3 linked regions of the Notamacropus eugenii genome follow. The protein of the gene in region 2 purifies or fractionates together with the protein of the main gene of each other region. This does not show direct contact. Links are inferred from orthologs where the notes say so. Each region holds a gene or a part of one and is shown on either strand. Other genes may lie near its edges. The genes, in order: TMEM9, CLCN4 and TMEM9B.

Evidence for each region.
Region 1: the proteins of CLCN4 (region 2) and TMEM9 purify together in Homo sapiens (co-immunoprecipitation; 3 studies listed by BioGRID and IntAct, with this or other methods). This does not show direct contact. The link is inferred for Notamacropus eugenii from reciprocal best matches to the Homo sapiens genes CLCN4 and TMEM9.
Region 3: the proteins of CLCN4 (region 2) and TMEM9B purify together in Homo sapiens (co-immunoprecipitation; 3 studies listed by BioGRID and IntAct, with this or other methods). This does not show direct contact. The link is inferred for Notamacropus eugenii from reciprocal best matches to the Homo sapiens genes CLCN4 and TMEM9B.

What each region holds. Positions count from the first base shown.
Region 1 is NC_092873.1:439,455,060-439,465,477, reverse strand, and holds the start of TMEM9 (proton-transporting V-type ATPase complex assembly regulator TMEM9), read right to left. Parts: upstream 4,190-10,418; 5' UTR 4,002-4,189; coding exon of another isoform or gene 3,421-4,001; intron 3,338-3,420; coding exon of another isoform or gene 3,236-3,337; coding exon 3,143-3,235; intron 865-3,142; coding exon 773-864; intron 1-772. Other genes in the region: IGFN1 (immunoglobulin-like and fibronectin type III domain-containing protein 1), read left to right, coding at 3,234-3,337, 3,421-4,001. UniProt on the Homo sapiens protein: Transmembrane protein that binds to and facilitates the assembly of lysosomal proton-transporting V-type ATPase (v-ATPase), resulting in enhanced lysosomal acidification and trafficking.
Region 2 is NC_092876.1:381,961,565-381,971,547, forward strand, and holds the start of CLCN4 (H(+)/Cl(-) exchange transporter 4), read right to left. Parts: upstream 4,612-9,983; 5' UTR 4,484-4,611; intron 1-4,483. UniProt on the Homo sapiens protein: Strongly outwardly rectifying, electrogenic H(+)/Cl(-)exchanger which mediates the exchange of chloride ions against protons.
Region 3 is NC_092877.1:36,416,274-36,426,279, reverse strand, and holds the start of TMEM9B (transmembrane protein 9B), read right to left. Parts: upstream 3,846-10,006; 5' UTR 3,711-3,845; coding exon 3,585-3,710; intron 1-3,584. UniProt on the Homo sapiens protein: Enhances production of pro-inflammatory cytokines induced by TNF, IL1B, and TLR ligands. Has a role in TNF activation of both the NF-kappaB and MAPK pathways.

The sequences.
Region 1 (10,418 bases), on a different chromosome or scaffold from region 2:
TGCTTTGAAAAAAAGTCAAAGAATTGTCCTATTTTCTTCCCTTCACCCTCCCCCTATCTCAGAGAATACTCTGCTCCCCCAACTTTCCCAATCTCAGTCTAAATGTAGCACCACAGACTTAAATTTAATAACCGGCCATTTGCCAAACAGCAGCTAGGGGGTAAGGCAGACAGAGTGTTGGGCCTAAAATCAGGAAAACTCATCTTTCTGAGTTCAAATCTGGCCTCAGATACTTACTAGCTGTGTGACCCTGGGCAAGTCCCTTAACCCTGACTGCCTCAGTTTCCTCATCTATAAAAATGAGCTGGAGAAAGAAATGTGGCAAACCACTCTAATATCTCTGCCAAGAAAAGTCCAAATAGGGTCATGGAGAGTTGGACACAGCTGAAATGATTCAACAACAACGAAATCACCAAACCACTTCTTTTGGGAGACAGGGAACCCAGGCCCCATTTTTGATGATAGAGTGACTCAATAGAGCTTACTTCCTCAATCTCTCCAAGAAATAGCTGTTTCCCCAGAGATCTATGAAAAAACAGTTTCCAAAAGATCTACAATTAATCTTCGACCCTAGATGTGGCTGATGAGTGGCAGAGTTACAATCTAACTCAGAGGCCATCTAATGCAACCCATAGTTAAACAGCAATGTCCTCTAAGCATTCCTGGCAAGTAGTGGCCTCGGCTCCATCTGAAGCCCTAAAGGACAGGCACACTGATGAATTCCTGAGGAAGCCCCTGTGAGGAATGATGACTGAACTGAGTAGTGCCTTACCAGTCTTTCTGTGACACATTCTGGTTGTAAATGTGTCCACTGATGTTACGATACGGTGGGCAGATACATTTGCACCGGATGTCTTCGGAGCTCTGGAAGAGAACAGGAAACGAAGATCAGGTTGGGAGGCAGGGCACCAACTCCTAGCAAAAGCCCCTGCCTTGTGACTCCCCTATCAAGCCTTGTTAAGCACTTCCTGTGTCTCAGACACTGTGTTAACAGCTTTAGAATGATCTCATTCAAGCCACAACTACTCTGGCAGTTGGGTATTATTATCCTCATTTTAGAGTTGAGGAAAATGAGGCAGACAGAGGTAAATAACTTGTCCAGGGTTATACAGTTAGTAAAGGTCTGAGGCTAATTTGAACTCAGATTTTTCCTATTCTGCTCTATTCTCACCATCTACCTGCCTAACAAGCATTTATTAAGTGCTGACTATGTGCCAGGAACTGGGGAAATAAAGGGAAAAACCAAGGTCTTCTTAGCAAAGCTTTCTCTCTGACTCAGAATTAAGGCTGCACTTTTCTTTAATACTCATCAAATTTGATTTTGCATCTTCATCTTTCCTGGACCTAGACTCAGCTAGCAACAGCCTCCTGTCCTGAAAGAAAGCTGCAGGCTTGAGCACTGGAACAGAGCAAGACACTTAGAGCCTAATCTTGGCTCTGCCACTACATAGCTGTGTCCCTGAGAAAATCCCTTAACTTCTCCAGGTCTTAGTTTCCATATCTGTAAAATGAAGAAACTAGACAATCTCTAAAGTCCTTTCCTGCCTAAGATATGTGGTTCTAAGTGGGACAGCTAAGCGGTGCAGCAGATAGAGCAAGGGCCTTCAGTCAGAAAGACCTGAGTTCAAATCCAACCTCAGATATTTACTAGCTATGTGATCCTGGGCAAGTCACTTGACTCTGTTTGCCTCAGTTTCCTCATCTGTATAATGAGTTGGAGAAGGAAATGACAAATCACTCCAGTATCTCTGCCAAGAAAACCCTCAATAGGGTCACAAAAAGTCAGACACCACTGAACAGCAATAGGGGTTGCCTTTCTCTAGGGGTCTGGAGAAAGAATGCCTAGGTCTGTGAACTCTGGAGTGGAGTGGAGTGGAGGTATGATAATTTCACAATGAGGTAAACTGAGGCAAAGCCACAGAAAGGATGCTTGCCCCTTGACACATCTCTATCCTGGTCTTCATAACAACAACAGTAAAAAACAAGACTGACTTTTTCACAGCACTTTAAAGTTTGTAAGCACTTGACATTATCTCATCTGAGCATCTGAGGATTCTGAGGAACAAGTACTACAGGTCTCCACCTCCCAATTTTATGATAAAGAAAGCAAAAGTTAGAGTTAAGTAATCCATAGCAGTCAGAGACAGCATTCCAACCCAGGTCTTTCTGACTTCTTGTATGTCCTCTAATCTAATCACTCAACAAGCCATTTATTCAGTACCTCCTTTGTGCCAGGAATTGTGTTAGGTGATCACTGGGAATGATTAAAAGTACAATAAATTAAACAATGTCATTGAGTCTTTTTAGACTCTTCATGACCCCATTGAGGTCATTTTACTTCCAGATGAGGAAACTGAGGCAAACAGAGTTAGGTGCCTTGCCCAGGGTCACTCAGCTGCTGTCTGAGGCTGGATTTGAACTAGGAAAGATGAGTCTTCTTGACTCCAGGCAAGACATTTTATCCACAGTGCTACTTATCTGCCCCAAATGACACAATACCTATGCACAAGAATTTACTCTAGAATGGAAATGACAACCAGGATATATATAAGTATATGCAGAATACAAAGGAATAAACACAAAATTAGATACAAGGCAGGGACCAGAGAAAAAAAAAAACTTCTCACACCAGGGATTCTACTATCACTCTACCTCTGTTATAGCTCCCTGAGGGCAACGGCTGTGTCTCATTGAATTATTGCAGCTTCTCCAGCCCCCAGTACATTACCCTGTAAACAGTATGTCCTTGATAAGCATCTATTGAACCGACGACCAAGACAAAAATGTTCATTTATTAACCGAAACACAGGATCAGAGAATTAATATTCCATTTTAAGGTTTATAAAGCATTCTCCTAGCAACAATTCTTTGGGGGCAGGGGGAGAGCAATTTCTCTCATTTTGTAATCTGAGGAAACTGAGGCTATGAGAAGCAGAAGCCAGTGGGATTTAGGGCCGAAATTCAAGTCTTCTGACTCTAAGAGGACCGGACCACGAGACCTGGCGTAGATCTCCCGAATCCCCAAAGTACAGAGGGACTTACAGGTACTTTTAGGGAGGGCCAAGTCTGCGCTAGGTTCTGGCCGCCGCTACGTAAACCAGCAAAGCCAAACCTCCCCATCTGCCCAGACCATAGCGCTCACCTTGCCGGCCTGAGCTGGGGGGATGGCCAGACAGCAGGCCAGCGCCACCAGGGGAAAGAGCTTCATGCTTGTCAAGGCTCGCTGGGTCAGCATGACCAGTCACCTGGAAGAGAGACAAGGAGCTGGGGAAGAGGGAAGTGAAAAGCGGGAAGTGAAGTCGACATTCACGTTTTCCCCCAAGTCCCCAAAGCCCGAGTGACTGCACCCTGCTCGACTCGGCTCGGAGGCAGGACGCCTGGGTTCTTTTCTTAGATAAGTGACCCCTTTCTGGGTCTCAGGTCCCCCCGATCGTCAGAACGGGAGAGAATAATTGCTGGGGGAGGCCCCCGACTCCTATCTCTACGGTGCTTCGAGTTCCTCGGGCAGCGCGGATCCAGGCTGACAGCGCTCCGCCCGGACCCCCGGGCGCACCGCGGCGGCGGCCCCGGTGCCCCTACCCCCCGCTGTGCGCTTCCCGTCCGAGCGCCTGCATCCCTGTGCATCCTGTCCGCATCCCGGTCCCCACTCTCCGCCCCAAGCTGCTCCAGCCTCTGCTCCCCGGCGCAGGCCCGGAGCCCCGGCAACCCTCTCCAGCCCCGTCTGAGGCCAGCTCTAGCAGTCAGAGCCCCCCGCGCCCGGCAGAGACGGGCCGGAGCCGCCCGCACCCCACCCCAGGCCCCGGGGCCCCGAGCCCCCGAGCCCCCGCGCCCCTCCCCCAGCAGTCCTGCGGCGAACCTCCGAACCTCTCCACATCAGCACCGGGCCCAGCACGGCCCCGCCCCACTGCAGCTCCTATTGGCTCTTGGAGGTGCCCTTCTCCCCGACTCAGGCTGTCTCCACGGCAACAAAGACCCGCCTTCTTGGGGGGGGCGTTTGGAAGGTACTGCCAGGGATCGGAGGGCATTTCTTAACCCCAAATGGGCAAGAAAAGGGAGCGTCGCCGAACGAAGGGCAGAAAAACCGAAGTCCAGAACTGGAAAGGTCTATAGAACATCCACAGATTGAGAACTGGAAGGTGCCTGGCGTCACCTTGCCCACCTGAAACTCGAGTCCACCCTCCAGCCTCTCAAGGCACGCGGTCCTCCTGCGTAGAGAAAAGAGTGCAGGATCTCAGGTCTTTGGAGCTCTCTGCGCAGCCTTCGGCAAGTCACCGCCGCGGCAGGTTTGGGGAGAGGTTTGGATGAGAAGGTTTTCTGAGTTCTCCTCCAGCGTTCAGCAGACCTCGGACCCTCTGATCCAAACTGCGCGCTTCCACTGCCGGCGAGATCATCCAGTTTCTGTCAAAATGCTTTCCGATTTTTCCAGCCATTTTTGTCAGAGTCCTTACCCCCAGTAGGGGGTGTCCTTGCATTTTGCAAGAATTAGGCCACTGTGTTTAATTGTTTTTGTTTTTTTGCAGATTAAGTACAGAGAGAATGACTTATCCAGGGTCATTAGACAATAAGTATCAGGGGTGGGATTCCTAACCAGCTCCTGCTGATGTAAGATATAGGAGGCCTTCCACGTTGCCTCTAGAGTTTGAGGAGCTTTAAAACTAACTCTCTTGGCAGGCAGTGTGCCCTGACATCTCTCTGCCCTACTTCCCACCCTACACCCATCTCAGCCCAATTTAGAGGTGTATTAATGCTATTCAGAAGTACGGGGCTACCTGATGGACTTTTAAAAGGTGGCATGCATTCATTCTTTTAAAAAACTACTTATCAAGAGCCTATTGGGGCCTCAGGGTGTGCATCACCTGCTCCGTGACTCCCAATTAGTTTATGATTCAGTAAATTGTGAGCGGCTTGAGGGTAAGAACTGTTTTGAATATCTGTTGCAGTGCTGTTGGCTCCTTGTTTTTGTTTTCAGTGCAAACCCATAATTCATCATTGTAGGGAACTTCTCCAAGGCAGCTCACTGCACTGAGGTCCTACTTATCACTGCCCATGGTTAGAGTCTCTGAGAGGTAAGGGGATGTGCCCCTTGTCACATAGTTAGTATTCAACAATGGTGGAATGTGAAACTGACTTCAAGGACATTTTTCTGTTGGCTATGCTGGATACCTGGCACACAGGAGGTACCTGATAAATGTCTGTTGATTCAATTGAATTCCAAACCTGAAGGCCCAGGCTAGGTTCTACAGGTAGCAGTAGGAAGTACCCTTGTGACCAGCATTACTGCTTTTGAGGTCTCTGTGCCGAGAGAATCAAGTGGCCAGCTAGAGCACTAGGCTCAAACCTCTCCACCCACATCCTCTGCAAATTTTCAAGGCACAGAGATTGGAGCACTAAGTAAAGTGAGCTGGAGAAAGAATGATAAACCACTCCTGTATCTTTGCCAAGAAAACCCCAAATGTGGTCACAGAGTTGGATAAGACTGAAATGACTGAACAACAACAACATATAAATTATTATTAGTCTCCTTTTATAATGTATTTACCTCTAGAGAATATATTTTGTATATCATTCCCTGAAGAATCTTAGAATGTTAGAGCTAAAAGTGGCTATAGATATCTAGTCCAATCCTTTTATTTTATAGGTGGGTTGATACCTTATCACTTTCCTGTGAATCACTTTATTATTTTTGTGAGTATGAATTACTTGAAAAGAGGAAGAAGAAAAAGGAGAAGAAGAAGAGGAAGAGGAGGAGAAGAAGATGAAGAGGAAGAAGAAGGAGAAGAAGAGGAAAAAGAGAAGAGGAAGATGAAGAAGAAAAAAGGAAGAGAAGAAGAAGAGGAGGAGAAGAAGAAGTTCTTCCTATACCTGTCCAAGGGAGTAGCTACTTGGCACAGTGGATAGGGTCTTCCTGACTCTAAACCTGGTACTCTCTCCACTGTGCCACCTAGTTACTCCTACGCATCTAAACCAAAGTATTAAAATACTTGGTAATAAGGTAGCTATTCCTCATATATTCAAAGTTGTCAAGGGAAATATTAAAGATTTTATCTTTATCATATGCCAAATGTAATATATGCTATATATAATGTCCACTGCACATATATGACACCTCATATATACTATAATAATAAGAGTTCTTAATGCGAGTTCCAAGAACTTGTTTGTAAAAGAACTTTGATAGCTCTGTTTCACTAAAATCAATATTAAAGCTTTGTAATCCCATGCATTTGAGTTAGGCATTTAAAAACATTATTCAGAGAAGAGATTCATGGGATTCAAGAGACAACCAAAGGCATACTTGATACAAAAAGGTTAAGAACTCCTACCATAGACCCATTTCCCAATGTACAATTCTCTCCCAATTCCAAATGAACTTAACAATATTGAATCAAAGGATCATTTTATTTAATTACTTCAAGAATCTATTGTTTTATTGGTGTGTATTTTCCTTGTACAGATACCTATTGTCCCCTCCATGCCTGAGTAGACTGTCTTCAAGAGTTGATGTAGCCAAAAAATGAAAGTCATGGAATGACCAGCCATCTGCTAATGAGTCTCTTTAAACTTAGGTAGACTGTCCTTAGAAAACAAGCAGTCTCTATTGCCAACCTATAGTTGATACTTTAGAACCTTCCAGAATTTATACTCCACTGCCATTGCCTTTGAGAACCCAAGGTCACCTGGGTTCAGGAAGAATAGGACTTTAATGAAAGGTTCAATTTTATATTTATGGAAGAGTAACCCATGGCCTATTACCAAAGGTCTAGATGCACACAGAATATCTTCTTTCTTGAAAGCTACTCATCATGATTTATGCCCCCAAGTCAATGTCTTTCTTGTGAACAGCAGAATTTGGCTTATTTCTGTCATATCCTCTGCTCCCTTGTAAACACCATGCTAAAAAAACAAAGCAGAGAACAAAAACCAAATTTATCACATAACATAAGGAATAAGGAAAGGACATGTATCTGAACCCATATGCAGTCCAGAAAAATGTCCCTTTCATCCAAAGAATCATTCCAAATTTATGGCTCCACACTAGGAGCTGAGGCTTACCCCCTCAAAACTAGTCAGTAGAAAATTAGCTTCTCCCCTTCACACTGACACCTTGACATGACTCAGAATCAGTGAATGACAAGGATTGAATTTGTTCCTTCTCACTGTGGTTCTGCACCTCAGTGCTGGTTAGTTGTAGTCCCTCCTTGGGGCTAGTCCCAGTCTTTGAGCCCAGGGTTCTTTGAGGCACAGATCTCTCCTTCTGGAATTTTGTTACTCTCAGGTTGTTTCGAGCTCTGCCCATCATCTTCCTCTCTCTTGCCTGGGTATAGCTCTGCATATTCTGGCTCCTTGCTCTGGACAGCACTTGGAGGCTTTGCTCAAACTGTACCATCACTTCCTATAAAGCTTAAATTTGCTACTCCTGCTTCCTAGGCAATGTAGGAATTCTTTCAGAATAAGACTTTTCTTAGATTTCCTCCCACAAGTACATGTAGGGGGTGTTCCAAGATGACTAGCATCTCTGATGTAAGGACCCTTTTTAGGGTTGCTCAGCCACCTTTGGTGTCTACCTGGCACTCAACTCCAAGAAGTACTAGTATGCACAGTGGCCCCCACTAGAAAAACCACCTCAGCATGGGGCTAAATCATGGCAAGGGTAACCACTGGGCCTCAAACCTGTCAGGGAGTTAGGGGGGTGTCTACCCCAAGCGTGTGAGGACTTTCCCCAGCAGAATGTGTGGATGAGAACATGCTATTCCAACATTTCTGAAGGTGGCTGAAGCAGGCACTGTGGAGCACTTAGAGCCTGATCAGATATAGAAGACCTCAAGGTCATCCCCTGCACCCTGGGTCATTGCCAGACTTTTGTCTTGTCACTGGACTTTGATAACTCTGGAAGAGAGAGTAGACTGACAACGTTGTACAACTCTGCCTCCCTTAAATCCAAGTCATGAGCAAGTCAAGACACCATCCTATGATATCACTGGTCCTCTTTGAAAATAAGGACAAACAACCTATCTTTTTACAATATGGTGCTATCTTACACATCTTTCTTCCTACCCACTTTCCTTTTACTTAGTCTTATCCTTTAGAATAAAGTATAGCTTTCTAAAGATTTATTTCAGTTGTGTTATTAAAGTTGTATTTCAGTCATCTTACCAAGGTTCAGTTATATATATATACACACACACATATATGTATATATATATATTAGGGTTTTAAATTTACCTCCCTGTGTTAGACTCTCTGGAATTCACCTTGTGTGACTCATACTTTGTACATTTGTGTAAAGAAATCTGAGCTCATGTATTTTTTTACTAGCTCTTTTTTTTTTGGATTTTGTGGATTTGAGGATATGATGCGGTTCTTTTGACTGCACATGCCCCTCTGTGTATCAAGCTTGGTGGATACATATAAACACTTTGCCCTTTTTCTTTCCTTTAAGTTAAAGCCATTTTGATTAGATTTTTCTAAGACTCTAGACAAAATCTTTCCTCTTGTAGAAACTCATACTTTAGTCTTTCTTTCTCTCCCTTTTCTTGTTTTCACATCAAAACTCTTCTTCCATTTTGGCCAGCTCTTATTAGGTGCACTCCATCACATTAGAAGCCTGTCATTGTTACATTTTTTTTTGTTGCAGTCACTTCTTAACCAGTCCTTTACTTCCTAATTCTATCTCTCTCTTCTGAAACCCTTACTCTCAGTTAGTAATAATGATGAAAATGCCACCTGAACCTTCTCCTAAGATATTTATTGTCTTACCCACAACATTCTAATGCCTGGAAATGCTTTTATATTCTTTCTTAAATTATCATTTGTTCCCACATCCACCCCACAAGAGGTGGACTTGAAGTTTCACAAGTTTATTATTAACTAGCAGCTAACAAATTGCTACCTTGGTTCCCTGCAGCACGGCCCTTCTCTTTTTCATCTATCCTCTTTAGATAATGTCTTATCTTATGGTGTCCTGTGGGTACAAACTGTCATTGTTTTGGAGGACAAGTGCAAATCTCTTTTTGGGTAGAATCTCCTCTCTATTGCTTAGTTTCGAGAGGTCGGTCATCCTTCTCTCCTTGATGTCATCCTCCAGCCTCCTAGCACAGATCAGAGCTACTCTCCCTGCCTCTTCTTTATTTTCACACTCAAAGTCTTTATTCCATTTTATTAAAAAAACACCCTTCATTTTTTCTGATAACTTGAAGGGTAGAGGGTCAGGCCTTGAGTTCCTTTACTTTCTTTTCTATGAGAGTGACCATCCTATCCTTTGAGCATGGGTAATAGTCAATTAATCATGCCAGAAATACATTTTGTTATATTCTCTAGAAAACCTCTCCTACTCTCCATACTTACAGGTAGTGAAATCTTGGGCCCCTTGTTATTCTTGCTAGTAGCGCCTCTGTTTAACTGCTGTGGCAAACAGCTAAGTATCTCATTTTAGCATCCTTTCCTTTGTCTTGCTAGCTTCTTCCTTGTTTTCATCAATTACTCTTCTTTCTTTTCTTTTTTGGTTCCATCTCTTTCTCTTCCTACTCCTTGAGTTCTTCTCCTTGTTCTGATTCAACTTTCTCTTTTGGTCCTTCCTTGGATCATCCTCTTCATTGAATTATTTTCTACTCTAACTAGTTGGGTTCTTCTCCTTTTCCCATTCCTCAGCTCATTCTTCCACTCCTTCCCTAGTCCTTCTGCTTGAGTCTTCATTTTCTTCAAATTCTTGTCTTACTCTTCCTCCAACTTCTCAAGTCTCTCCAAATTTACCTTCTCCAATTTCAATCTTTGGCTTTCATAAAAACCCCCAGATCCTTCAAATCTCCACAATTCCTTCTCATTCTTCAACTTCGGTCCTTCCCTTGCCTTCCCCCCATCCAACTGTATCCCAACAAGGCCATGAGACCATTAGGAATACATTAGTACTATTTAGTTTGCCATGGAATCTGGTCTATTGGGATCAAATCAGTTGATGTGCTATACAAGAATTCCTTCACAAAATAGAAAGGGGAGAAAAGAGGAAAGCCCTTATTCTTTCCATAGTAAAATAGAGAAAGTATCAGCCTTGGAATCAGAAGACCTGGGCTCAAATCGTAACTGTTATTTCACCTATATATCACAAAACTTCTGTGTCCTTTGGTTTCCTCATCTATATAATAGAGTTGGAACGGATGATTTCTTTTTCTAAACACTGTCATTTACATTTGAATCATTTACCCCATAGCCCTATGTTAATCTCTTTTTAAAATAATGTTTTATTTCCCCCTCAATTACATGTAAAAATTTTTAACATTCAGGTTTTTTAAAGTTTTGAGTTCCAAAGTTTATTCTTCCTTCCTTCTCTTTTTCTCCTTCCTGATATAGTAAGCAATCTGCTATAGGTTATACATATGCAATCATGTAAAACATATTTCCATATTAGTCATTTTTTGGAGGGA
Region 2 (9,983 bases):
CCCTCCTTCCTTAAGTCCTTCTCTGCCTACCTAGGAGGGGTTCTCAAAGGCAAAGCCAATGCTACCTAACTGCAGAGGCTATGCATGTGAGCCTGGCAATGAACCCCAGGTCTGTTGTCAGAGGACCAGCCTAGATAGATTCAGAGAGGCCCATCATCAACCAGTGGTTTGCTCCAGAGTAGTACATTTTTCACCTACAGCAATTCTCAAAAACATCAGACTAAAATGCATCTGGGAGGGAAATGAATTGTGTCCGTGGAGGAACTAGCCCCACTGACAAAAATCACAGATCTTTGAAATATTATGTCATTTAAAGCAAAGTATCGCATTATTTAGGGCATATAAAAGGCCTGGAGCAAATTCCAAGTTAAGAAAAGGAAAAGATTCATTGTGATAAGTTGAGGTCCTTCAGATGCTTCCGTTTATCCATGAAATTATGCTAACTGTATCAATGCCTATGACAATTTATATAGGGCCCACGATGTGCCAAGTAATTGTGCTTATTAGCACTTTCATGATTATTATGTCATTGGAGCTTCACAACAACCTTTAAGGTAGATGCTATTACTACCCCCATTTTACAGATGAGGAAACTGTGGCAAAGAGGTTAAGTAACTTGCCAAGTGTCATGCAGTTAACAAATGTCTAAGGTTGAATTTGATTTCAGGTCTTCCTGACTCCAGGACCAGAACTCTATGCACTAGACCACCTAGCTGCTCCTATATGAATACCGAAATCTCCCAGAGGAGATTGCTAATCACTAAAAAAGGGTGACCCAACTTATCACATAGGAAGAGTCAAGTGGATGAAAAATGTCTACTGCCTAGATTATGATATGCAAGTGAGCAGACAATCTGAAGAAAAGTTCCCTACGATGAATTAGAAAAGAGTCACAAAGGATAGACACGCATGGATCGTTTGTGATGAGAATCATTTGAGAATACATAGATAAGATCAAGATGGAAGATCCACTGGAGTAGTTGGGTAAGCAGTGGTACTTAAATCATTCAATTAATAATAACTGTGTTTGCCATCTTAGAATTGAGAAGTACATTTGCTCTTTTTTTGTTTTTTCTTTGTCATGGTTCCTCTCAGTTCTAATTCTTTCTTACAACATGACTAATGTGGAAATATGTTTAATATAAATGTATACATAGAGCCTTTATCAGACTGGATGCCGTCTTGGGGTTGGAGGAGGGGAAAGAAGGGGAGAAAATTTGGAACTCAAAATCTTATGGAAGTGAATGTTTAAAAATAAATAAATAAATAAATTTTAAAAAGAGAATTAGTACTTTAGTCTACTCATTTGAGATACCATTCATTCTCTCTCAAAGAAGTCACAGAAAAATGATTCCTTCCTTTCTCTCAATAAATTTTCCAATGGAAACCAGAAGAATTCAAAGCCATATCATTGATTGTTCTTCTGAAATACAGTCATTTCAATAATGTGTAGAATCTATTATATATTTTTCTTTAAAAAGCAAATGGTATAAAATGGTGGTTCAAGCTTTTACTGAGAAACTTCTTTTGTGTCCTGCTGTGTATATGAAATGCTCTTTTTTTGGTGTTTAAGTTTTGGAAAAAAGTTGAGGCTTTTTGTTTTATTTCATTTTGCTTAATAAAAGTTGTCGTTTCAAGCTTCTAAATACTTAGCATATACTAAAGGTTTTAGTTGTGATAGTTTCAAGCAGGCTCAACCTCCATTGAGATTTATTGTCAGATTTGCTCAAGATCACACCACTAGATCACAGACACTTTTCTCAGATGCCTCACTTATCTAGAATGATCAGGGAATCATGAGGGTGTTTCCTCAGTCTGTTTAACAATGAAACCAGAGGTGTAGTTCTAGCCTCTGGCACTAGAAAGGAACTGGAAAGTCTAGATAAGATATTCTTCCTGATAATTACTAGTGCACACTATTTTTAAACCTTTTTTGATGGAAATATTCCATCTTAGTGAGCATTCTGAATATCATTTCACTCTCTTGACAACTCAGCTTATTTCATGCACAGCATTTTTACTACTCCTCATAAGTAGCCCTCTCTCCTGCCACTGCACTAGCTGTTCCCCATACTGGGATGCATTTCTTCCTCTTAGGATCCTTAGTGCCACTGCCAGCATCCCAAGATGATCTTCTAGATGAAAACTTGCCTAATTTCATCCAGTTCCTAGTATGCCCCCTACCCACACAAAATTAATTTTTATGTATATTTGCATTTATTTTATATATTGCTGTTCAGTTGTCTTTAATTTTTCATGACCCATGGAATATGCTGCCTGTGGGGTTTTCTTGGTAAAAACACTGGAATGGTTTGCTGTTTCATTCTCCAGTGGATTAAGGCAAAGAGAGGTTAAGTGATTTACCCAGGGTCACACAGCTACAGGGCCTGAGGCTAGATTTGAACTCAGGTCTTCCTCACTCCAGGCCAAGCACTCCATCCATTGCAACACCTAGCTGCATTCCTCCTTGGATTAAACGTCTCCAACTTATTACAGGGTTCTGCTGAGGGTACTAATGCGCACTACCTTCCCCCAGTAATGCCTTTAAGAACTACTGAACCATGTGGCATAATATTTAAGTGTGCAGGGTCCATAAGAAAGGCACTATGAATAAGAAACAATTTATTTTTTCAATACTGCATAGTATTACACTGTAAAAAAGTGTCAGATTTTAGATTCAAATCCTGGCCCTGATTCTTTTTAGCTCTGTGATCTCAGTCACTTTATCTCATTGTTCCTGCTCTGCAAAAAAAGATGATAAATCTTGCCCTATTTATTTCAGAGTCCTTGGGAAGGAAGTGCTTTGTAAATTTTACATGGTAAATATTATATAGTAATCCACATGCTTATCTCCCTTGACATAGCAGATTAAATTCTCAAAAGGTACGTTTGTGCAAATCAAATTTGCTCAAGTCATTTCAAGTGCACAAGAAAATCTGGCTATCTAAAGAGGAATCTTTCTGCAAAGTGAAATTTTGTCTGTATGTAAATCCAGATATCCACACACAGTGTAAACCCAGTTTCTCAGGTGTTGGTCAGACTGATAACAACCACCACCTCTCAGGTTAGTCCCAAGTTAAGATGTAAAAATATCCCAAATCCAAATTCATTTTACTCCTTTTAAAAAGACAGCAATTCAGTAGACTTGAAATGCAAGCAGTCATGGGAACAAAAACCATTTTTGGTTGCACAGATATACTAGTGTCTTAAAAAATACTTAAGACTGCGGGCATTTCTAAAGAACTGCTTTGCTATCCCTGAAATGTAAAAGAGTGTTGAATTTCCCTAATTAGACTTTTCCCAGACAAACAGTTCCTTATGAGCAAACAGGCCAGGAATTCTGTGCCAAAGCTGAGCTCTGAAGAAAAGCCACCTGAGCCCTCCCCCACTGCTCCCACATCAGCAGCTGACTCACAGCTCTTTCTTCCTCTGGCAAATCTCCCCAGCTTCCATTCAGTCCTTCAAAAACGTGGGGAGCTAGAGTCTTTTATTAATTCATTTGGAGTTCTTCCTCCCAAGAAAAACCAGTTTATTCTTAGAAATGCTGCCATCATCCTCCCTCCTAGAACTTTGGGGGCTAACAATATTTCTAAAAAATCAGGTATTTCATTATTTAAAAAAAAACCCACACTCATCCAGGAGAAACATGTCTACTCTAAAATCCTGCCAAATAAAACTAAGAAAAACCAGGCTTCCAAAAAGCTACCGAACGACGTGCCAATGGCTAAGCCTCTAAAGGGTTAACTAGCAGGAAGTGTCCGCGATAAAATGCTGGGAGCCGAAAGCGGACGGAAGGGGAGAAGCCCAGCTCATGACCGCAGCCTGAGTCCTCTGCAGGGGGCTCCGCGGAGCCTGCCTGCTTCCCGTTTCCGTCCCCGCATCTGCGACCTGGTCATTTCTCAACGAAGACCGCCTTGCCTTCGGGGCATTGTTCGTCTCCAAATCAGGAAGTGAGCCAAGGCGTCCAAGGCTGCGCAACCCAGCCTGCCCATCTCCTGCACAGCTGAGGACCGAGCGTCCGCCAGGGAAGCCATGCCCAGCCCCCACTCCATCCCATCCCACCCCCCGGCCAGCCCCGCCCCCATCTCCCACCCGGCCCCGCCCCCAGCCCTGCCGGCCAGCCCCGCCCCCAGCCCCCGCCCGGCCCCGCCCCCAGCCCTGCCGGCCAGCCCCGCCCCCAGCCCCCACCCGGCCCCGCCCCCAGCCCCCACCCCTGCCGGCCAGCCCCGCCCCCGCGCCCCCACCCCCCACCCCCGGACCGGGGCTCCACTGGGCCCAGCCCCGCTGGGCGGGGGGGTGCCGGCCGGGACACTCCAGCTGGGCCGGCACACGGCCCGGGCACCTGCACGCTTCCCCTGTCCCTACAACGAGCGGACCCCGCTCTTCCTAACCGTGCACGGGGGCACCCAGGGACGGGAGGGGAAAACGGGCAGAAAGGGAAAAAGTCCAAACCCGAGCAGGTGGTGGAAGCGAGGCCTCTTACCTGCGGTGCAGCATCGCTCAGCGCAGCCCGGACTGAGAGAGCATCCTTTCTCCGCGGCTACGGCTGCCAACGCAGTGACGTCATGGGAGGCAGCGCGGCGGGGCCACGTGACGCGGTCCCGCGCCCCGAGCGTCCCTCGAGGAGCGCGGGGAGCGACGGGCGGCGGGTCCTCCCGCACGGGGGAGGCTGCGGGCTCTGCCTCTGGGCTGGCGGGGCGTCGGCCTCGCTCCGAGCTTTCTGGGCCGTGGGCTGAGACCTGCTGGATCCCTCTGGTGTGTCTGCACGCAGCCGTGTGCCACGTGGAACGGAAGGAGGAAAAAACAGTTATTTCTGAGACCCTAAACTTAAGTCCCCTTGTGACTTTCAAGAGAGCAAGTGAAAGCGCTTATTTATCTACTTAATGTTTGTAATGTGTGTTAATAGCATCCCATATAACGCTACGTATCAATACCTGACCACGTTTGAGATTTATGACGTGTTAACGATGTGTTACTGTATTTGGTATCTGTGATGTGTTATATTAATAATACATCATTATATTACCTATAATGTGATATATTGATACATTGAATATAATATATATTAGTAATATATCATATAATGCTACATATATATTAATAATACATTTGATATTTATAATGTTAATGATATATTACTATATTTGATATTTGTAATGTGTTTGTTATATTAATAATACATCATTATATTACCTATAATGTGATATATTGATATATTGAATATAATATATAAGTAATATATCATATAATGCTACATATATATTAATAATACATTTGATATTTATAATGTTAATGATATATTACTATATTTGATATTTGTAATGTGTTTGTTATATTAATAATACATCATTATATTACCTATAATGTGATATATTGATATATTGAATATAATATATAAGTAATATATCATATAATGCTACATATATATTAATAATACATTTGATATTTATAATGTTAATGATATATTACTATATTTGATATTTGTAATGTGTTTGTTATATTAATAATACATCATTATATTACCTATAATGTGATATATTGATATATTGAATATAATATATAAGTAATATATCATATAATGCTACATATATATTAATAATACATTTGATATTTATAATGTTAATGATATATTACTATATTTGATATTTGTAATGTGTTTGTTATATTAATAATACATCATTATATTACCTATAATGTGATATATTGATATATTGATATATTGAATATTTATAATATATATTAGTAATATATCATATAATGCTACATATATATTAATAATGCATTACATTTGATATTTATAATGTTAATGATATATTACTATATTTGATATTTGTGATGTGTTTGTTATGTTAATAATGTATCATTATATTACCTATAATGTGATATATTGATATATTGAATATTTATAATATATATTAGTAATATATCATATAATGCTACATATATATTAATAATACATTTGATATTTATAATGTTAATGATATATTACTATATTTGATATTTGTAATGTGTTTGTCACATTAATAATACATCATTATATTACCTATAATGTGATATATTGATATATTGAATATAATATATATTAGTAATATATCATATAATGCTACATATATATTAATAATACATTTGATATTTATAATGTTAATGATATATTACTATATTTGATATTTGTAATGTGTTTGTTATATTAATAATACATCATTATATTACCTATAATGTGATATATTGATACATTGAATATTTATAATATATATTAGTAATATATCATATAATGCTACATATATATTAATAATACATTTGATATTTATAATGTTAATGATATATTACTATATTTGATATTTGTAATGTGTTTGTCACATTAATAATACATCATTATATTACCTATAATGTGATATATTGATATATTGAATATTTATAATATATTAAACATATCGGATCACAAGACAAAAAGCATCTACGTAGCGCCCACTACTATGTGTCAGGCAATGTGCAAAATACACAGGAATGCAGAGAAAACTAGCGAAACGGAATGTCTCCTTTCAAAAAGCAGCGTGTTAACTTAAGTAGAAACAGTATAATCGTATTTTCATACTCATGTTAAAATGACACCAAACATGCGGTAGGCGTGCATTCATCCAGCTTTCTAGATTTCTGGCGTCTTCTTTTGATGCCCATTCACGCTGGAATACTGCACTAATCATGTGGTTCTTTCAGCTTTCATGCATTGTTTTTACTTTTGGGTTACAAATCAGTAGTTAGTAGGAATGGTGAAAGTCTCTGATGTCTCCTATATATGAGATAGGGTATTTGTGAGAGATATCTCTATTTATAGATCTCCTATCACAGCATAGTACCTGTCCTATATATAGGAGATATGTATCATACCCTATATAGAGAAGAAATCAGTGTCTATAGATAGAAGAAATTATATATGTGTGTGTAGAAAAAATCACAGATATATCCTATATATAGAAGAAGTCACAGACAGGACAGTACCTGTCTTATGCATAGGAAATAACGTATTTGTGATATTACACACACACATATGTCATAGAATTATACCACTTATACTACTGATTTGTAACTTAAAATTATGATAAAAAATATACACATACATATATATTTATGTGCTAAAAATACTAACATAATTACTATAGTATTCCAGCATGAATGGACTTCAAACTAAGTTATTAGAGATTTTGAGTGAATGCATGCGTGCCGTGTATACCAAATCTTTGGTGTCATTTTAATATGAAAATGACACATACATGATATCACAGACTTACACAACTTATACTCACAACTGCTTTATAACTTAAAATTAAAGAATGGATTATGTGCATATGTGTTTACTTTTAAAGCAAGGAATTTTAATATGGTGATTTTTCTAAGAATAAACTTCTAGTAATTACTGAGATAACTCACATTGTCATAATTTTATCTTGATCTTAAGAAGTGAGTCAACTTGCTAAGACAGAAAATATGTACAATGTCAACTTCTCATTCACTGAAGAAATTCAGCTGACTAGGACAAAAATCTGTTTGTGGTCCCAGTTTTACTTGGAGCAGCTTGAAATGAATTCCTGAAATGTAGAGTTTATGCTGTAAATAAGTGGAATTTTTATACCATCTCAAAATAGTTAGAAAATAAATATTTTCAAAATATGTAAGCTCAAATGCAGTAGTAGCCTTCTTAGGACTTCATTTTTTGTTTTTATAGAATGTTTTATTACTTTCACTCTAGTTTAAACTACAGTATTTTCTTTTTCTCTTCCCTATTCCTTTTTTAAAACTTATTTACTAATTTTTAATTCCATATTCTCTCATTCCTTCCAGCACCTCCCCCACCAATCGAGAAGGCAAGAAATTCTTGCCCCCTCCTAAAGAATTACAAAATAGTGGTAGTTTGGGGAAATAACGTGGAGTTTTCCTAATACCAGTTGGTGTTTCCTTTTCTTCCTTATTTACTTTCTGGTCCTTTTTTCAACTCTCTTCAACCTTTCCTCCAAATCAATTCATTTTCCCTTCAGACTACAGTTCTCTGATCTCTGAACACCTACAGTCCTTGTAGTTTACACAGCTATTGCAATTGTTTGCAAGGCCAGATTTAAAAGAAGCTGTTTCAAGTTTGATTTTCTGAATTTTATTGCATATTATTTAAATAGCTTACCTTCTGGTTTATGATTCCCGGGGCATAATGTGAAAATGTTATGGAAATCCACTTCAACTTTGAACTACCACCAGCGTGACTGAGAAGGACTGAAACTCCCCCACTGTGTTTTCACAGGCAGAGTTAAATATAGATTATGCCTTTAATGTTCCCAGAATGCCCCAGAGGGTAAACAGCCAAGTCATCACATGTCCTGGGCTAGCTGGTAATCCCTCTTTCCTCAGCCTGCTCAGTCACAGCCTCCTTCACCGACAAGCAAACCTATGAGAAAGCAGTTCACTTTCTTTGTAGCAGCTGTTTCTTGGATTGTGGCTATCAGTAAGTACCAGCTTCTCTGACCTAGTGGAGGCAAAACCTGAATCAAGTCAGAAATGACACATTTGTGCAAAAATGCTGCGGCTCACATTCACAAATAAAAATGTTGTTGACTCCTCTACATGCATATGTAGCTGGAAAAATTAATCTAGCTATTAATCTACCTTCTGGAGAAGGAAAAGGCAAACTACTACAGCATATCTTTGCCAAGAAAACCCCAAATAGGGTCACAAAGTGTTGGACACAACTGAAATGACTGAACAACAAAAAAAGTATTCATTCACACAGTGCAGTTGTTATTAGCAATGAGTCTATTTCCTTTCTTTTTTTCAAAGTTTCTGGGGGCTTTTTAAGTGTCATACCAAGATTGGAACCTAAAAAAAGTTGAATGAAAATAAAACAAAATCAAAAACTACACATCCCTCTTGTAAGTACAGAGTATTGCATATGCTACAACAGTTATTTTGTATAACTTTGCTAAATTACCATTTTTTGTCTGTTTTTAAATCTTTGTTACAAAGGAGGATTCAGGTAACATGAAAATAAAAGGTACTAATAAAAAGAAAAAATACTTTTGGGAAAATGTGTTATTGTGATCACATAACAAAATTATTGAGCTCTTTATTTTTTTAAAAAATGCTTATTTCATTTCTTTGTTTTATTTAATAAATATATTTTATTTATTTCTTTGGTATTCCAATGGATCAGTGAGTTCATCATTATGGATATTGCCTTCAACGATGTTGATCAAAGTTCATCCATTCCTACTACCATGCATAGCTTTGTCCATGTCCTGAAAACTCAGGGAGGAGGTGAAGCTAACTTTCTAGAGACCTTTTAGATTTCTTAATATTGCATGGATACTCTTTCTCATCCATTCTTTTGAGCATGTTACTTGGAGCTTGTGCCTCTCCCTTGGACTTTCAACAATGGAGGAAGAGAGATTTCTTTTCCCTCCAATTTAAGAAGCGATGGTGGTTACGACTCAAGATCATGAGTGCCATCAAGAAAATGTACCTACCTAGGTGAACCTGAGACTGGACCTCAAGTCTCTGGCTATCTCTTTTGCTATGTGGTTTTTATGGTCTGGATTTTCTTTAAGAATAGGTAACCAAAGAGATTCCTTAAAAGATGGATATTTCCAGCCTAGGTGGCTACAATGTGAGTGTGAGAGTTCCTGGATTCTGGAGTCAGTGTGGGTTGTTCACAAGGGAAGTTGTAATAACAACTAGCCTCCTTCTAAAAAAAATGTTCCTCTGCCACCAGAAGAAACTTCCAGAAGGATGCTGAGCTGGAAGAAATAAGAATATCCAGGAGACCAATACTTGTGAGTTGTACAAAAAGAGCCAGTCAGAGGTGAAAGTGAAATATCTCTTCAGTACCCAAAAATAATCTTTATATTTGGGAAGAGTATTACAACTACGATGTGTTATTTTTTTCTGTTTTAAGCATACATAATACACAATTTGAATCTCTTGTGTTTTAAACATTTTTTTGT
Region 3 (10,006 bases), on a different chromosome or scaffold from region 2:
TTTTTAAGCAGAATTCTTTTCTAGTGAGTTTAATTTGAGTTGTCACCTAAAAGTATTACATAAAAGATACTTTTCTCTTTTTACAACAATTAGTATTATAAAACATCTGGCGTTTATAAATCTTTAACCACTTTTTATGGATCACATTATAGCCAATTTACTGGGAATTTCTTGTTTCATCAAGGTCAGCAGAAAGCCTAATAAAACAATGTTGATGAATAAGGATACCATTTACAAGCAGGAAGGGAAGAACACAGATAAAGATTCTATATGTCTGACAGGTAAAAAGTTCTTCCCAGCATATCCATTTGTTGTAAGGACAAGGCTATGGGATGTAGAAACTGGAGGTCAAGGAAACTCTCTTTGGATTAGGGTCAAAGTCTTGGCAAAAGAATGATGACCAAGAAGCAAGCTAGTGTTGATTAGGAGACTGGAAAGGCAATCTTCAAATACCTTCAATGCTGTCATGCGGAAGAGGAATTATTAAGCTTAGCCCAAAAGGGCAGAAGACTATAAGCTTCATGTAAAGAAGGCCTTCACAATTAGAGCTGTCCAACTATAAAATGGGCTGCCTCAGGAAGTACATAATTTGAGGAGGGAGAGATCACTGACAACCAGAAAATGAAAAAAAGGGAGTGTTGTACAACCTGGGATTAACCACATAGTCAAACGCAGAAAGGGAAGGAGAAAACTTTAGGCCAAAAGCACTCAAAAGGTCAGAATGTCTTTAAGGGTTAAGAGCTGGGAAGGGAGGAGGCCCTGAGATTCAGGAAACGGAGTGCTTCCAGGGATCCAAAGAAGTGTAACAGGAGACAGTGTGGTATAGTAGAAAAAACCCTTAAATCAATTTAGATCAACTCCCTCTCCAGCACTCTGCAACCCAGCCAAGGTGATCCTCTCTTTCTCACACAATACACCATCCTGATGCTTTTGTACCTGCCATCCCTGTGGTAGGAATATACTCCCTCCTCACCTCCACCTCACAGAACCCCTCTCTTCCTTTAAGACACAGTTCTATATGAAGCCTTGTCCTGAGCCCTTCAATTGCTAGTTCCTTCCCAAACCACCTTGTATTCATCCTCTTTGTATCTATTCCCTATACACTTACACAGTGTGTCCCCAGCGTTTTAGGGCAATCTTAAGCTACTAAAACTACTAAAATGCAAAGCTGCAATAAGACTTTTGAGGCATTCTGTATATTTACTTGCTGTTTCCTCCATTAGAATGTCAGTTCCTTGGGATGAAAGAATGTTTCATTCTTTGTTTTTGTATCCCCAGTCCACAGACCCTGGCACAGAGTAGGCACTTAATAAATGTTTACTCAGTGACTATAGATTTGCTTTCAAGTCCCTGTTCTAACACACCTTTCCTTGACGTTTGCTCTCCCTTACCCTCATCCCCTGTAGAGTATTCTTTTTCAACTCCTGTAGATTTTACCACCAGACATCTTGCATCTGGCACACAGTCACTACCCTGGTTCTGGCCAAGAGTTCACCCCTCACCTGGGCTAATCTTCATAACTTCCTACTTCCTCCAGGTTTAAATATGAACTCCTCATTATGACCTTTAAAGCCCTGACTTTCCTGTCTTCTCTCAGAAGACCTTCCTTTCATACATTCTACATTCCAGCCACACCAACCTACTAGTACCTGCACACAGGTGTCCCCCACACCAGGAAATACATGGCCTCTTCACTTCTTTTGCTTCCTATAAGGTTCAAATCAAGTGCTACCTGCCATGGAAACCTTACCTGTTTCTCCTGCACTGTCAGTGCCGTAAGCCTCCTTAAATTCTCTTGTGTTAAGCTCCTTCTACATTTGATCTCATTTGATCCTCATAACCACCTGAAAGGGAGGCACTACCATCCCATTTCACAGAGACGGAAACACACTACAAGATTATTCCATGATCACACAGCCAGCAAGTCTGGGAAGCACAAAAATTATGGGCAACTCAACCTTTTTAATCTTCCCTCTGACATTATCTCAAATTTATCCTAGAGAAACTGTGTTTGTACAAAGGTGTTTACGTGTTGTGTCCCTCACTTGACTGTGAGCTCCTTGAGGGCACAGACTATTTTTTTCCTTTCTTTGTATCCCTACAGCTTAGCATAGTGTCAGGCACATAGTAAGTGCTTAATAAATTCTTGCTGATTTGGAAAAAAATTCTCTTGTGTTTACATATTTATATAAACATATATATGTGTATGTTGTATTGTTCTGACCAACCTTAAGCTCCTGTAGGTTTAGAATTTTGGGAATGGAAGGGGTGAGGAGGAGTCTCCTTGTTAGGTTTGGAAATAGGAAGAACGTCCTGCCCAGGATCTGACTTGTTTTGTTTTCCTTCCGGAGGGGGGTCGCAGCTGGTGGCTCCAGGGGCTCCTGGCAGGACCGGCACCTCGGGGAGGCCTCCATCAGGACCCCATTTGGGGTCCAAATTGTGGGGACCAGAGCTCTGAGGAGGAGAGCAGGGGGCGCCTGGCACAGGGTGAGCTGGATAAATACTTGTCGGCTTCCAGGAACGCTAAGCTGTGTGACCCCAAGAGTAACAATAAAACAACAGCGACGATGAACAGCTGGCACCTCTACACTGTGCCAAGGTCCGCAAAGCGTTTTCCAAGTAGCATCACCCTGGACCCTCACGGGGAGGGCCGGCCGTTACTATTATTATCCCTATTTTATAGAGGACGTAAACGAAGGCAGAGAGAGGCTGAGGGACGCGCTCAGGGTGCTGCAGCCTGTAACCACTTACTAAGCGCCCACTATGTGCCAAGGACGGTGCCGCCGCCCTCCAGGAGCTTACACCCGAAAGAGGAGACCAACGAGCAAACACATGTGTACAGGATAAACAGGAGATGACTGGGGGGTGGGCGCTGGAATTAGGGCTTCCTCTGGTGGGAAGTGCGCGGGCAGGATTCGAACTCGGCTCTTCAGCCACGGCGCCGGCACTTCACCCTCCCTGCCTCAGTCTCCTCTGAACGGTGGGGTCAGGCCTGCCCCCAGGGGCCTCGCAGAGGGGTCCGCGGGTCCCGGTCAGGCCCGCCCCCCAGACCCCCGCAGAGGGGTCCGCGGGTCCCGGTCAGGCCCGCCCCCCAGGGCCCCCGCAGAGGGGTCCGCGGGTCCCGGTCAGGCTCGCCCCCCAGGCTCTCCCCAGAGGGGTCCGCGGGTCCCGGTCAGGCCCGCCCCCTCAGGCTCCCCGCAGAGGGGTCCGCGGGTCCCGGTCAGGCCCGCCCCCTCAGGCTCCCCGCAGAGGGGTCCGCGGGTCCCGGTCAGGCCCGCCCCCTCAGGCTCCCCGCAGAGGGGTCCGCGGGTCCCGGTCAGGCCCGCCCCCTCAGGCTCCCCGCAGAGGGGTCCGCGGGTCCCGGTCAGGCCCGCCCCCTCAGGCTCCCCGCAGAGGGGTCCGCGGGTCCCGGTCAGGCCCGCCCCCAGGGCCCCCGCAGAGGGGTCCGCGGGTCCCGGTCAGGCCCGCCCCCCAGGCTCCCCGCAGAGGGGTCCGCGGGTCCCGGTCAGGCCCGCCCCCCAGACCCCCGCAGAAGGGTCCGCGGGTCCCGGTCAGGCCCCCGCCTCCGCCCGGCCCGGCCTCACCTTGGCCGCGTTCGCCAGCTGCACCAGCAGCAGCCCGGTGAGCGCCAGGAAGGACAGGCCGAACACGAAGCAGAGCCGCAGGAAGCCGCTCCACACCGTCGTCCCAGCCGCCACCGCCGCCGCCATCTCGGCCCGGTCCGGCCCGGCCTCGGCGCCGCTCCGCTTCCGTCCCAGCACTTCCGCCTCGGCCGCCCCGCGTCCTCCGGAGAAGGTCTTCCCCCCGGAAACGGCGGCCGCGCGCCTGGGGGCCGGCGAGCAGAGGTTCCGCCCTCCCTTCCCCTCCCCCCCCCCCCGCCCCGTTCCTGGCTCGCTGCCTCTGGGAGTGGCCGCACGCTGCCTCCTCCAGGATGCTGATTGACTATGGCATTGAAATAACAACAGCCGGCGTTCGCTTAGCCATTTGCAGATTCCAAATAACCGCTCATTTTATCTTCACCCCCATCCTGGGAAGCGGCAGTGACTATCGTCCGCATTTTACGGAGAAAACTGAAGCGCACAGAGGTCCATCAAGGGCGCCTGCCTTGGAGCCCAGGTCTAGCCAGCTCTAACCGCTGAACCACCCGGCTGCCTCGCGCCACTTTGATCAGGATTCTTCGGTCTTGCCGAGCTGTTGGCTTTCACAGTGCTGTTATGGTATAAAGCGGTCTGATGTGCTACCTTTGCTTAAGTTTATACAAGTTTACACACGCTAAATCAAATTGCTTGCTTTTTCTTTTTGCCACTTACTAGTATTTTCTTTTTTCCAGTTACATGTAAAGATAGTTTTCAACATGCTCTTTTATAAGATTTTGAGTTCCAGATTTTCTTTTCCTCCCTGCTTTCCCCCTCCCCAAGACGGCACGCAATCTGATACAAAGTATCCATGTACAATCATATGAATCATATTTCCACATCAGTCATGATGTGAAGGAAGAATCAGAACAAAAGGGGAAAACCAAGAGAAAGAAACAACCAAAAAAAAGGGAAAATTGTCTGCTTTCATCTGCATTCAGAGTCCATAGCTCTTTCTCTGGATGTGGATGCATTTTCCATCATGAGTCTTTTGCAGTTGTCTTAGATCTTTGAATTGCTGAGACGAGTTAAGTCTATCAAACTTGGTCATCACGCAATGTTACTGTTACTATTACTGTATACAATGTTCTCTTACTTCTACTCACTTCACCCACCATCATTTCTTTCCAGATTTTTCTAAAGTCCTCCTGCTCATCGTTTCTTATAGCACAATAATATTCCATTGAATTCACTGCATAGATGCCTTTATTCTATCTCTCTTTTAATTAATATTTGTTTTCAGTTCTCTACAATCGCTTCCATAAGTCTTAGATTTTCTCCCATTTCCTCTCCCTTTTCTCCCCCCTCCCTCCCTAAGACAGCGTGCAATCTTATATGGGTTCTACACATACGTTCTTATTAAATACATTTTCACCTTAGTCATGTTATTTAAAGGAATTAAAACGAATGGGAAAAACCATGAGAAAACCAAAACAAAACAAAACATAACACGAGAAAATATTCTGCTTCATTCTGTGATCCAATTCCATAGTTCTTTCCCTGGATGTAGAAGGCATTTTGCCTCAAGAGTTCACTGGGACCGTTTTAGGTCCTTGCATTGCTGTGAAGTAATGTCTACCACAAAAATTCCTTGCACACTGTGGTTGTTGCTGTGTGCAGAGTTTTCCTGGTTCTGCTCCTTTCATTCAGAATCAGTTCATATAAGTCTTTCCAGGCCTCTCTGAAGTCTTCCTGTTCATCATTTCTTATAGTATTCCATTACATTCGTGTACCACAATTTATTCAGCCATTCCCCGGTTTTTGGCCACCACAAAGAGAGCTGTTATAAATATTTTTGTACATGTAGGACCCTTTCCCCATTTTTATGATCTCTTTGGGATATAGACCTAGTAGTGCTATTGCTACATCAAAGGGTATATGCAGTTTTATAGCCCTTGGAGAAAAGTTCCAAATAGCTCTCCAGAATGGTTGGATCAGTTCACAACTCCACCAACAATGTATTAGTGTTCCAATTTTCCCACATGTTCTCCATCATTTATTGTTTTCTTTTTTGTCATATTAGTCAATCTGATAGGTGTGTAGTACCTCAGAGTTATTTTAATTTTCACCTCTAAGCAATAGTGATTTAGAACATTCTTTCATATGATTACAGATAGCTTTAATTTCTTCATCTGAAAACTGCCTATTCATATCCTTTGACCATTTCTCAATTGGGGAATGACTTGTATTCTTATAAATTTGACTCAGTTTTCTATATATTTTTAAAATGAGGCCTTTACCAGGGACATTGGCTGTAAAAATTGTTCCCCAACATTGTTTGCCTTTTCAAGGAGAGTGGGGAAAGGAAGAGAATTTGGAACTCAAAATTTTAAAAAATGAATGCTAAAAATTATTTTTATATATTATTGAAAAAATAAAATATTTTTAAAATTCTTAAAATAAAGTTTATTCAAGTCTTCCCATTTCTTTCATAATTTCTTATGGCACAATAGTGTTCCATTATATTAATATACCATGATTTGTTCTACCATTCTCTGAGTGATGGACACCCTCTTAGTTTCCTATTCTTTGCCACTACAAAAAGAAATTGTGTGTGTGTGTGTGTGTGTGTGTGTGTGTGTGTGTGTGTGTGTGTATGTGTGTGTGTCTTTCTTTGATCTCTGGAATATGTTGGATCAAAGAGTATGCCACAGTCAACAGATAACTTTCTTTTTTACATTTCAATTTCATTTTCAGTTCCAAGTTCTTCCTCTCCAACTACCCCCTCTCCTACACATTGAGAGAACAAGAAAACAAAACCCAGTACAAATGACCCATAACTTTCTTTTGTGGCAATTGGGGTAAAGTGACTTGTCCAAGGTCTTACAGCTAGTGAGTGTCTTAGATCAGATTTGAATTCAGATCCTCCTGATACCCCCCAGCTGCCCTGTCTGTCAGTGATTCCTACTCACCTTTTATCTCTTCTCCTCTCATTTAAGTTAGTACAGAAAAAGATCTCTAAGCCACATTGTACTTGGGTCTTTATACTCCCAGTGCATAGTGAAGTGCCTGACACATAGTAGGCCCTTAATCAATGTTTATTGATTGACTAGACTTGGAGTCAGGACACTTAGGTTCTACTCCTGATTGCCACTGTGTGAAGGGCATCTTCCACTTTTGAGACCTCAGTTTCCCCATTTGTAAAATAAAAACAATTCTCCCTCAACTCCCTTGCCTCAGGATTGTGTGGAAATTACTGTGTAAATCTTTTAGCGATATAGATTTGTGGGATGTGAGTGCTTGTGGACTCTTAAGGGTACTGTGGGACCCACTTGCTTTTCAAATCCAAAAAGATTCACATTTTTTAAAATTTCATGTTTCCCCAATTACATATTAAAACAATTTTTCAACATTTTTTTGAGGTTTGAGCTCCAAATTCTATCCTTCCTTCCTTCTTCTACCCTCTCCTCAAGAGGGGGATAAGCAGCTTTTTTGGCTCCCTGCTTGTGGTGGTGAAGATGCAGCTTCTTTCCGTCATCCAGAATCAGGGTTCAGCCGACACCTACAGCCACCCTGCAGCTTCCAGGCCAAGCCTCCACCTTCACTGCCACCATGCCGCCCAAGTTTGATCTTCATGAAATTAAAGTCGTGTTTTTAAGGTGCACCAGTGGTAAAGCTGGTGCTACATCAGCTTTCACTCCTAAAATTGGTCCCTTGGGTTTGTCTCCCAGAAAGGATGGTGGTGACATTGCCAAGGCAGCTGGTGACCTGAAAGGGCTAAGGATCACAGTGAAACTTACCATTCAGAACAGACAAGCCCAGATTGAGGTTGTGCCTTCTGCCCCAGCCTTGACCATCACAGCCCTAAATGAAACATCAGTTTCCATGAGATTGTCAACATTGCTTGACAGATGAGGCACCGATCCTTGGCAGCCCTCCCTCCCTCAAATCAAAGTCAACTGCAAGTCATGTCGTCATCTTGATGTCATGGTCCTCTTCGACAACAAAGGACAAACACAACAACAATCCTACTCTGGCGATCTCCTGAGGTAGTCTAAGACAGTCTCTGTTGGTTAGGATTGGTCTGAGTCCAACCCCTCAGGGGTCTTTCCTTCCCAGCCTCAGGCCCTGTCTGCCAAGGAGATATTCCTAAGGCACAAGTTCCACCACATTACTCCTCTGTTCAAGAAGCAGGGCTTCCTATTACCTTACAAATGCAAACCCCTTTGGCCTTTAAAGCCCTTCACAAACTGGTTCCAACCTCTTTTTTTCCCAGGCTAATTATACATTACTCTCACAACCGCTCTGCCCTCCAGCCAAACTGACCTCCAAATGGTTCTATTTACCCAGCATCGTATTTATAATAATTTATCCTCTGCCCCCAGGGCCTGTAATGCCTTTTCTCCTTACCTCTGCCCCTCCCAACCTCGACAGTTCCCTTTAAGGCTCCACCTTCTACAAGACATCCCCCTTTCCCAAATTACTAATTACTTTCTATTTATTTTATGTAATTATCTATGTACATACTGTCATTATCCTTTCTGCTCCTTATCCCCACCCTGAAAATTCCTGGGAGACTGTGACCTCTTCATTTTTTACCTTTTGTCCATGGTGCCTAACACAGTGCTTGGCACATAGTAAACACTTAATAAATGCTTATTGAAGTGAATCGCATTGGGGAATATGAGCAAAAGACTGTGGAGAGGATGATGATTCATCAGTCCAAAGTACAGGCCCAGCCGTCCGTTGGTTCCTGTAAGTTCCCCCAAACACCCCTGACTCCCTTGTGATATGAAATCATTCTCTTTAAAAAGTATCGATGAAGCATCTGATATTCGTGCTGCTGAATTTCTCAAACTGAGGAGATTCTGATACCTGATACCAGACCATGTGCTGGACCCTGACCCCAACAAGTGAAGCCAGGGGCCTTCTTAGCCTTAGAGGATCTATATCTTAGCACAGCGACATCTTGGAAGTGTGTCAGGGTTGTTGTTTTAGCCCGTTGCCCTAGGCAGGATGGGTTTCTGTGGGATTAGGACTTCAGTGTCCAAGGAAATGGACTAAGAGAATTCACCTCTGAGTCATCCAAGGCCCATTTCCCAACTATCTTCCTTGGAGCAGGCCTCAGTTCTGAGTTTTAGTGAGATTCTGAACTTCTCAGTCCAAAGGATTTCATTGCTGAAAGTCGATCTGGGTGAACATCTTCATTCAGTTGAACTAACCCCAAGAAAGCCTTGAAACCTCGACCTAAGAGGCCAGGAGCCATGAAAAGTCAAGAGAAACGAACAGAAAGCATAGAGTGAGGTGAGACCAGCCCCAGACTCCCTCTAGGCTTTCCCACAGCCCTTCAGAAAACTACCCTCCACCCCTTGCAGGGACTAGCTTTCTCGTGAGCTCTGGGAAGTAGAAACCTGTGGATGGGACTGTACTTTATTCATATTTGTATAATAATAATAACTAGCATTTACATAGTGCTTGCTATGTGCTGGCCACTGTGCTAAACACTTTACAGATATTATCTTATTTGATCATCACAACAGCTCTGGGAGGTAGGCGCTATTATTATCCCCATTTTACAGATGAGGAAATGGAGGCAGAGAGATTAAGCGACTTTCCCAGAGTTATACAGCTAGGAAGCATCTGAGGTCATATATGAATTCAGCTCATTCTGATTTCATATCCAGCCCTCTACCCACTTTACTGCCCACACAACAGTCAATAAATGTATGTTGGAGGAAAAGTGGATGAAAAATCTGGCCTGCTCCACAAGGAATAGAAAGGGCAGCATGTTCTGTGTCCCAGTGACAGCCAGCCTGGCAACATCCCCCACAAGGGCTAAACTCTGCAACAGGCTAAGTTTCCTTTCTTGAACTCTAGTCAACAGCTGGCTAGGTTAAAATTTTAACCTCTATTTCTTCTTTTTTAAAAAAAATCTTATTTCTAATGGAAAGGATGTAGTGGCATTTTGCCCCCTCCTGTGGCGATCAGGTGGGGCTGGTGTCCCCATATCACCAAGGCCAGGCCCAGGGGCACACCACCCATTGAGGCCATGGTAGGCTGGTGATGCCCCCCTCTGGTTTCCATAGCAACCATTATAAACCCTTGACTTCTGAGTCTTCTCTCCTCTCCCCTCCTCCCTTAATGGGTCATTAGGACTGACAGCTGCAGTATGAGTCATTCCCTCATCCCTTGAAGACTTCTCTTATTCCAAGTTGAGAAAGATTCTTTCTGAGAAAGTCACATGAGAGAAGTGATCTTGTTTTTCTTTGCCCAGAGATGCAGAAAACTGGCCCTGGAGGGGGAGGGGACACTTTTCATATTTCCTAACTCAGCCACAATCTGCCATGGCCTGCTGTGCAGAATCACAGATGACTGTCTCAGCTACAGCAATGCAACTTGCCTTTACTGTGCTTTTATGGAATTTACTCCTG